2 linked regions of the Caenorhabditis elegans genome follow. The protein of the gene in region 2 purifies or fractionates together with the protein of the main gene of each other region. This does not show direct contact. Each region holds a gene or a part of one and is shown on either strand. Other genes may lie near its edges. The genes, in order: deps-1 and twk-37.

Region 1 (5,144 bases), 5.8 Mb from region 2:
TTTCAAACTTTTGTTTCTCGGGAAAACTGTAAAATCGATTGCAACAAAAGTTTGAAACTACAGTACTCCTTAAAGGCGCACACTCTATTGGCATTCAACTGACAACAAAAATTTGTCGTGGTGAGACCCGGCCAGTGCATTTTTTAGAGCAAAAATCGCCAAAATTTCGCATTTTTTGCAGTACTGTGACCTTTGCCTCCGTGTTTCCATGGAATTCATGTTCCCGGTGGGTGTGCTCATTGTGTTCTCGATCACACAGATTCTTATCACAGTATCTCCGGGAATGGCTTCTCGTATTCGGAATCCGATTCCATCACTGGCTTCGTTCATCTATATGTCATTTGTTTGTTTTTAACCTTCTGATACACCTAATCTTTTCTGAAATTTCAGTTTTTCAAGTGCATAACGAACTTGCTCACGTCTATCGCGATGCTACCCTATCTTGGATGTACCGATCAACCATCATTTTGGGGGGAGTATCTCGCTGCCGGCTTGTTGGGACTTTTCTGGATGTATTCGCTGCTTAACATGGGTGTATTCACTAGAATAACCTACCACAACTTCATTAGAGCACGAGAAAATTACGAGAGACAAGTTGTGCGGAATGGGATGGTGGTGGAACTTGAAGTTTAAATAAATAAATGTTTGGTTGGATAACGGGTAGATTAAAAATGAGCAGAACATTTGAAACACAAATACGGGGGAAAACGGGATGCGTATATATTTAATTAGACCCTGGAAGATGTTGAGCTTTGTGGAGTACCAGATGGAGTTCTGCGGCTTGAAGGGCCAACGAATCGCTGAAAAACTTGTTTTTATCATCTTCCAACCTTAAAAATAAACTTACGTTTGAGCTCACTGAAGTAGCTGCAGATGCTCTTGATTGAATTGATGATCTGGATCCAATGGAACTTCCAGCTGGCGTAGTTCTGGCCGATGTTGCTCTGCTCGAATTCGCGCTCATTGCAATCAACGGAGGACAGATGGCTGTCGAGCATACTTCCATGATGGTAGCAGCACGGCGACAATCATTGACAGTAATGGATTCACGGACCCATGCCAGGAACCTTAAAATTCAGTTACAATTATTTTTACAAATCCTGACACACTCACTTTCCTCTACATGGAGTCTCCAACTCTCTGAAATCCACAAATCCCATCGAATCACTCTCCGCCAACTGCTCATGATCGCAATTTGGCTTCAAGTACACTTGGAACAAGCGCTGAATATTTTCCTCATAGAATAAAAACTATTAAATAATTGAAGACTAACCGTATCACCAGAGACCGAGTAATTTTTACAAGTGAACGCTGGACATGGAGAACATTCGGTGATCATAATTTCACTGTCGACTCCAGCTTGTCGCTTTCCAACGAATTGAACTCCTCCGCCAATGGGGATTCCTTCCTTCAAGTTATTGGGGATTTTGAAGTAGACATTCGGATGTTTGGCACAAATGACAGTGTCTTCATTGATTCGAATTCCTTTGACTGGACCAACAACGAACTGAAAAATTCAGGGGTGAAAAGGACGAGTTTAATTTAACTTTAGAGACCTGAGTATCACGAAGCCAGTTTTCAAAAATGGACATTCCCGATGTACGAACAATGCGGTAACGGACAGATTTGTTTTCTGAAGTTCGAACAGCACGAACTTCGGCCTGAAAATTGAAAGCGTTTGTTTCAAAATAAGACCCACTCATGATTACCATAGCCTTCAAGAATTCATAACCAGCTGGATGAAACTCGAAGAATGAAAGAAGATGGTGTGGGTCATCAATCAATCCAAGAGTGCCCTCCTTGTCAACGAAGAGACCTCTGATACTGGCAGGAACGACGCGGGTAAGGAGCTGAAATAAAAATTATGTTCTGGACAAAAAAATCAATATTATAACTTACATTTCCGTTGACAGAGGTTACATGCTGTCTGAGAAGTGGAACTGGCTGAAGCTCATAGATCAGAAAACCGTTGTGCTGCATCGACCAAATAGCACTGAAATGAAAGTATTCTCCGACGGCTGGGTAGATCAAAGTCTTGTCCGTTCCTCGGGAAAATGGCTTCTGCAGTGGGATAATAAAGTCGAACTGCGAGAGTTCTTTGCAAATCAGTAGGCGTTCGCCGACATACAGGCCAAGCTGCATCTTGATGACCTGCAAAATCAAATTGTCAACGAGAATCCACAAAGCAACCTTAACCTCGGCCCATTTGTCTTCTGGCAAGTGCCAGCCTTCTCTCGGCTCGATATCAATTTCGTCGTCGCTATCAGCAGGCTTTGGATCCGGGCGCCAAACACCGAATTTAGAGTCAGGAGAGCCTGCGTTCCATGGCTGAAAGTTATTTGTTCAAAATCCCGTAAAAAATTTTTAAAAAGCAAATACCGCTTCACAGACGCGTGCTTGGTCGGATGGATCGCAACTGTCAAACGATTCGAATGTTGCAGTCATATTGAAAGGATCTAGACCACTCTTCATGGTAGTTTCGAATCGAATCCAGGCGTATAGCCAAACGTCTGGCTCCGCACGGGTCGCCTCTGTCTCTGCTGAAATAAATATATGGTTAGAGAGACGAAAATCAAGAAGAAACATACGCATGGTGACGGTGCATAATGGCGTCCAGAACGAGGTCGTTGAGGTGGGCTGGATGACGCCACCGACTTTCAAAATAAGTCCATTTCTGCTGGAAGACGCTTCATAAATTGGTTTTTCTCGTTTGATATGAAGGATTATCCTCTTATCGTGATCACAGTCCGATTCGTTCCATAGGATGACTTCACCGAACTTTAGCGGGATTTTGGATCGACGTCTAAAAATTCAAGTGTTAACAGATTAAAAATGGGCTCAAATCAAATAAATACTGACTCAAGATTTTTTGCCTCTTCGATATTATCGAAATTCCTCTCCAAGTTTGTTGGAACAAATGCGCACTTGGAGACACCGTACATGATGTTCTTCGGGGCCGCTTTTCCCTGAAAACGAGCTTATTATTTTAAATATGAAAACGGAGGGAATTCACGTACATGAGCTTGAATGAGATAAACGAGGTCCGTCTCCGAATCTTGGTTATCTTGTCCAGTGGAGGAAATGACGATACCTTGATAGTCAAAATATTTGGATTGGCGTTCTGACATTTTTGTCTGAAAATTGGATTTTTTGCAACAAAAAAATGATGAGCGAAACGAAAAAAAAGAAAAATCTGTAAAAAACGTAGGATTCGAAACAAATTTCCCACGAGAAATCAGATGCGCGGCGCAGTGGTCTCACCACGAAGAGCTACCGTACCTTAAAGGCACATTGGTGTTCAATGGCGGAAAAAAAAGTTTCGAATTTTTCCGTTTATTTTTCCATTAAAATTCTGTTTTAAAACTTATTTTTTCTGATTTTTCAGCGAAAAAATGGCAGATATTAGTATCCGCTCGACAAATTCCAATATATCTCGAGGAGCACGTCCGGAATCAGGCCGCCTGCACCGAAAATACCCGTATCGCTGGCTTTTCGATCAAGTTCATGTCAAAGTAATCGATTTTTTCCGTCTAAAAGCTAAATTTTAATTTTCAGAGCCTGATATTCCATGTGGAAGTGGGAATGCTCGCCATTGCCATCATCGGGCTCTACAGGGCCAGTCAAATGAGTGTCGACGAGCATTTCGAGCCGCCATCCGTTCCCGGCTTCGATGGACTTCAGTGGAACGGCGAAACGTTTCGAAACTTCAATGGAGTGCTGATCCGCCCGAATTATGTGCCGGCTCGGAATTTAATCAATATTTTCTCGTATTTTCTGATTTTTAGGTAGGGTTTCAGGGGATATTTTAGACTTTTTCCATCGATTTTCTTCAGCATCGCAACCGGATTCTTGGGAATGAGGCTCTCCGAGACGAGCATCACACGTCGAAACTTTCCCCGGAAAGTCAACCCGGCTCTTCTACTCATTCCATCCGCAATTTCTGTGGTATTTTGCTAAAAAAAATCGATATTTTCCCTTGAAAATCCTAAATATTTTCAGATTTCCATCTTGTACCCGCTCTCCGTGTGGACGCTGCGGACTCTTTACTCAATAATAAAGCTTTTAATCAAGGAGAATCTGAAATTTTCGATTTTGTTAGGTAGAATTTTTAATTTTTAATTTTTAAATGTGGACTACACCCTGTGGGGAAATTGCTTTAAAACACGCCTATGGTACCACAATGACCAAATATCACGTTAAAAAACTTCAAAAAAAATTTATAAATTTTATATGATTTTTTGAAAATTGAAAAAATCTGAAAAAGTTTTTGCCTAATTCCTATTTGAATTACCGCCAATTGAACTCGTTCGTTGGAGCGCGCTTGCATTATTTTTTTTATTAATTTATTCTATTTTTCTTCTATTTTTTCATTCCGTGATTATTTTCACTCGGGAATCGCTCGCCCACTATGGGGGAGTCTACGCAAGGACAACGCAAGGACAAGGACAACATTTTAATGGAATGGAAACGATTGCCCGACTGCACCAATTCTAGTTCAAGCGAACAATGATAACTTTTGTATTCTGTATTCCTTCACGTCTCCCAGCGAGCGTAATAAATTATTATTATTATTATTATTATTATTATTATTATTATGTCACTGATTTTCTTCATTAGTTGTGTATTTTTATCGGAAAGAGAAGTAAAAAAGCAAGATTAATGCAGAATGTTTGCTAAAAAGTGTTTAAAAATGTGAAAAATACGTAAAACTGTAAAATAATGAGTTCCGACGACAACAAACCTGAAACTAGCATATTTTTCAGTTTTACGCATTTTCAGTGATTTTTTAATCGGAAATTTGCATTTATTTTAACTTTTTCTCTAAAATTCAAGCAAAAATACACCGAAAACATTGAAAATCGGTGGAAAATAACAATAAATAAAATAAATAAATTTAAAAACGTGCAAGCGCGCTCCATCGAACAAATCCAATTGGCGGTAATTCAAATAGGAATTAGGCAAAAACTGAGATTTTTTCGATTTTCAAAAAATCATATAAAATCTAGAAAAATTTTTTGAATTTTTTAATCATGATATTTGGTCATTGTGGTACCATAGGCATGTTTGAAAGCCATTTCCCAACAAGGGTGTAGTCCACCTTTAAAGATTTTTAATTTTTAATCTGAAAAATCTTGATTTCTTCA
Region 2 (4,684 bases):
CGAGCGAATTGATACAAAAACTATCATCTGAAAACATATCGTAAAGTGACATTTTCATTTAAAAAAAAGCTGAAATTGCCTTCGAAATTTTTGAAAAGTTCTTGAAACTTGTTGAACTTGGTGTGATTGTCTTTATCGCCTTCAAAAATTTGTTGAAGAATTTGTTTTCCAGACTTGGTAAATGAGCAGCTGACGAAGGCTGATGAGGGTAGAAACGAGACAAGTATCAAATAGACGAGATTCATTGTTTTCATGGGAAAACTTTCACAAATGATAATCGAAAATAAATTGTTTGATAATTAATGATTGCGTTTTCACAAATGACGGTATTTGCGTGAGCTGCACGTATTCCTGGAAAATAATTTTCAGAAAGAAAAGAACAATAAATTTTTTTTAACTAGCCACAAACACCGTTGTTTGAGAGATTAAAAATTCAATTACCAAATAGGTTATTCACGAATGCGCTACTAAAATTAACTCCGTAACGAGAAATTGCACATGAGGTTATAGGTACGGCGCTGGGAGGTCAAATAAAAAGGCGGGTGTGAGGCGCCTCTGTCAAGCCTTTACCGGATTAAATCTCTAAATGGGCAGTTTTTTTTTCCTTTCATTGTGCAAAAAAAGAAGCTTTTTGTAATTTCTTCATTCTCTTAATGACGAAAAAGAATAAGAATTAAACCACAAAAAGAATATCAATAAAAATTGTAATAAGCAAAGAGATATTTTAAATTTTGAGAATAATCTGATATCAATTATGATCACTGGATCGAAATCATTCCTTCGCTGTAGTCGTTGCAGCAAGTTTCCGTTGAGAAGCACCAGGTGATATCATATTTGTTTCTAAAGTGTCGGTAGCATGCCGTTCATCGAAGAGCTCCAAAACTCTCATAAATCTGTTTTCCATCGAATGCTGAAATTTGTAAACTTTAGACACTTGGTTTCTTACAAGGGAATCTTCACAGCTTACATGAACGAGAACTAAAACCATTGAAATCAGTGATAAATCGATAAAGTGTAATACACAAATAATAGTTCCAGAGATATGACCTGACGGAACAAAATCTCCAAATCCAATAGTTGAAAATGTACTGAAAGAAAAGTACAAGGCATCATAGAATACAAACTCCTCATAGACAGCAATTGCAAGTGCTCCGAAGCCCCAAAATGTGACAAGAAGAATAAAAGCTTTCAGTACTGTCATCTTATACTTTGCCGACTTTTTGCCACTGAAAACTAAATAATGAACTCAAATAAAGATTTTATATGGAAAGTTGAGAAGAGGTTATTTATGTTTAAATGTTAAATTACCATTTTCGAACGCAAATTGCAAAAATTTTGAGTGTCAAATTGCATATTTTCAACGTTATTTTTCCATTGTTGCGAAGTACGTAGAGTGTTAGAGCAATTCCTATAATACCATAAGCTACAGTAACCAATTTACCGGCAATTGTGTGACAGACAAGTTCGCCGTACCCTGAAATAGAAAATAGAATGATTAGACGACACCTCGGGAGAAAATTTTAAAAATATTTTTCAAAATGTTCGAAATCAGTTTTGATACTATTTTACTTGTTAATCCCGAGTCATACCTATTGTCGTAATACAAGTGATTACATAAGCCAGCCCATCCAGAAACTCTTCTATATGCTTTGGAGGGTTTGAAGCGTAGAGTAGGTCAAAAATTTCTTTTATACAATTGTTGTTCAACTCATTATCTGCCTGAAATAGATGAAAATTGTATCGAGGCGTTTTCCGGGTATGCTCAATTGAAAGAGATGCAGAAATACTTTCACAAACCTTTTTCAATTTTCCACACTTGCTACCTTTCATTGAATTGTAGATGTGTATTGATTTCTGACGAATATTTCTTTTGAACTCATTAATCTGAAAATATTATCAATGAATATATATCTGCAACAGAAACAAAAGCTTTACAAACATTCATATCAGATCTCGATTCAATCTGCCAAAACAAGAGAGCTCCACCAATTATATATGCAACAAGAACCACAAATGCAATTATTGTATTAAATTCTGAAATTTGAAACATTACTTTAAGCAGAATATAAACCAAATCCTCACTTCGAATCTTTCTCAAAATTGTTCGTAATTTCGTTGGCTTCGGTCTTTCCGCTCTAGACTTTCGTTCAACAAATTTTAAAATAGATTGCTTTCTGACAAGATGTTGAGTTTCTGGTGAAGATTTTTCCATTTGCCTCTTTATAAATTTATTAATAAGTCGATCCGTGTGAGTTTGCATTCCATCGCTGAAAGACTATTGCAGTTTGGATTGACAGTGGTGAAGCAGTGGGTATTGTTTGAGAAGATTTGACAGCTATTCTGTCGTCTTTATATTTTCCTGGTGTAGATAATACAGAAACTCGACATTTTGCTTCAGCTTTTTCTCGCACATTGTCGCACATCTTTGCGGGTTACCCCTAGTTTCGAATTTTCCGCGCATTTCTTCGCATGCTATCGTAGATCGTCGCAGATTTTCGCGATTTCCCAGCTTTCAATCGCACGGAGCGAAATGTCGAGCATGTGGGTTACAAACTAATTTTCTTCTGTGGATTGTAGTTATACTCACCTATTAGAAGTGTGATGGTTAGAGCTGTGTGATTTTTGATTTGAAGGTATTGAATCTGAACTGAAAAATGTAGTTTTTTTTAGATGAAAACAATGATTCTGCAAACCTCGATTGTCTTCTATTTGATGCTACCATTGGGACGATATTGACTCCAAAAATTAGAACTGACTTTTAAAAAATCGATTTTTAATAGTTTTGGCCATCTCAGAAAATATCACGTTTCTTGGTTATGGTGGTATTTAATAATTTTATAATTTTTAAAACTGTACGTAAACAATTTTTTCAAGAAACTTGGCGAGCTCAATGAGTTTGAAATTTTTTAAACAAATTTGGATATTTATTTTTGTATCTATTTGAGTGTATACGACAAATCTCATCTTGTGTTAAACAGTAACACATTGAAACAATAAAATATTTATACTCGAGATCGGTATTCAAAACGCCTCGGATCAAGTTAACATAATTCTTCAAATTGAGGCTCTGGAAGGGAAAGAAACTACGAAAACAAACAGTCTATGGTCATAGAAAGACCAAAGAAATTAACTACAGATGTTCATAAAAACATCTGCACTGGCATTGTAAGAGAAGAAAGGTTCATTAGGGTAAACTCGTTTGTACTTTATTGAATTTCCGATTGTCAAGAGAAGAATCCTTCTGGTGCTCCGCCCTTCTTCGACAGCATAACCGATTTGACAGCCTTCTCAAAGTCATCCGTTCCGACACATTTTCGTTGAGCACGAAGAGCCAGCATACCAGCTTCCGTGCAAACCGCCTTGATTTCAGCTCCACTAATGCTCTTCTCCTTTCCCAATACATTCTCATAGGTGACAGCTTTCTGAATCGTCATTCCAGAGGTGTGGATCTAAAAATAAAAATTATTTAAGAAATGTTGAATTGACTAACCGTGAAAATCTTTTGTCTAGTCTTCTCATCTGGTTTTGGTAACTCAATCTTTCTATCAATTCGTCCAGGACGGATAAGAGCGGGATCCAGCGAGTCGATTCTGTTCGTTGCCATGATAATTTTGACATCTCCACGGCTTTCAAACCCGTCCAATTGATTTAAGAGCTCAAGAAGAGTTCGTTGAACTTCTTGTTCTCCACGTGAAGAAGTATCAAATCTTTTCGTACCAACTGCATCAATTTCATCAATGAATACAATCGATGGAGCCTGTTCCTTTGCCATTTGGAAGATTTGACGAACAAGACGAGCACCTTCCCCACTTTGTTTCTGAACAAGATCGGATCCAGTTGCACGGATGAATGTTGCAGATGTTGAGTTTGCAACTGCTTTCGCCAAAAGCGTCTTTCCAGTTCCAGGTTCACCGTAAAGAATAACTCCTTTCGGAGCAGTGATTCCCATTTCTTCATAGTACTCTGGATGAGTAAGAGGAAGTTCCACAGACTCTTTCAGCTCTTGAATTTGACTCTCACATCCTCCAATGTCATCGAATGTCTCTTTTGGTGTCTTCTCAACTTTATGTCCCATCGCATTGCTGTCAATCTTGTCATCCAAAACTCCAACGATTGCACTTGGAACTGTTTTGAACATTCCACCAGCCTTCACCATGACGAGGGCATTCAGACGAAGCAAGTCCTTGTCGACGATCGAGAGAATTGGTACGTACCATTCACGTCTCGAACCTTCAACGACCACAACGGCATGCTTCTCATCATCGAAAAGCTCGTGGACACGAGCCAATGTGGTTGGAGTTCCTCGGAGACTTTGAACTAATTGCTGTTCACGACGTTTTTGGACAGCAAGAGGGCGACCATGACGGCTTGTTTGACGAGTGATGAACTCTTTCTGTAATGAAAACAACTGTTAACCATTTAACTGCAGTCATAGGATCCCTACGCAACTGACATAAACAAAACAAAATTCTCTACGTCTATCCTACTACTCCAACCCTACAACGATTTGAAGTTCGTGTAATGATGACGTCATAGATTGCAAACTACATTTACTACAAGCTATGGCTTTATGAAGTGTTAAAGACCTCGAGTTAGATAAATTCCGCATCTTTGCTCTCTAGGGATGAACTCTTTGCTTTCTAGGGATGAACTGATAATTTAGTTTTCACAAACCTCCAACTGC

The links.
Region 1: the proteins of twk-37 (region 2) and deps-1 fractionate together in Caenorhabditis elegans (co-fractionation; one large-scale study listed by BioGRID). This does not show direct contact.

The regions. Positions count from the first base shown.
Region 1 is NC_003279.8:504,461-509,604, reverse strand, and holds deps-1 (P-granule-associated protein deps-1), read right to left. Parts: upstream 3,133-5,144; 5' UTR 3,129-3,132; coding exon 3,018-3,128; intron 2,967-3,017; coding exon 2,860-2,966; intron 2,804-2,859; coding exon 2,589-2,803; intron 2,541-2,588; coding exon 2,380-2,540; intron 2,329-2,379; coding exon 2,197-2,328; intron 2,152-2,196; coding exon 1,900-2,151; intron 1,851-1,899; coding exon 1,710-1,850; intron 1,662-1,709; coding exon 1,557-1,661; intron 1,508-1,556; coding exon 1,274-1,507; intron 1,224-1,273; coding exon 1,114-1,223; intron 1,068-1,113; coding exon 848-1,067; intron 801-847; coding exon 729-800; 3' UTR 634-728; downstream 1-633. Other genes in the region: Y65B4BL.7 (uncharacterized protein), read left to right, coding at 182-343, 391-633; Y65B4BL.4 (Dolichyl-phosphate-mannose--protein mannosyltransferase), read left to right, coding at 3,393-3,512, 3,556-3,785, 3,834-3,945, 4,000-4,099. UniProt on the Caenorhabditis elegans protein: Component of P-granules which is required for P-granule formation and integrity in adult germ cells. Promotes the accumulation of glh-1 mRNA and localization of pgl-1 to P-granules. Involved in RNA-mediated gene silencing (RNAi) in the germline.
Region 2 is NC_003279.8:6,268,789-6,273,472, forward strand, and holds twk-37 (Potassium channel domain-containing protein), read right to left. Parts: upstream 2,746-4,684; 5' UTR 2,723-2,745; coding exon 2,694-2,722; intron 2,648-2,693; coding exon 2,588-2,647; intron 2,268-2,587; coding exon 2,083-2,267; intron 2,035-2,082; coding exon 1,940-2,034; intron 1,885-1,939; coding exon 1,798-1,884; intron 1,720-1,797; coding exon 1,590-1,719; intron 1,475-1,589; coding exon 1,309-1,474; intron 1,227-1,308; coding exon 968-1,226; intron 911-967; coding exon 773-910; 3' UTR 632-772; downstream 1-631. Other genes in the region: oac-9 (Nose resistant-to-fluoxetine protein N-terminal domain-containing protein), read right to left, coding at 1-27, 80-245; C10G11.8 (AAA+ ATPase domain-containing protein), read right to left, coding at 3,225-3,449, 3,491-4,393, 4,675-4,684.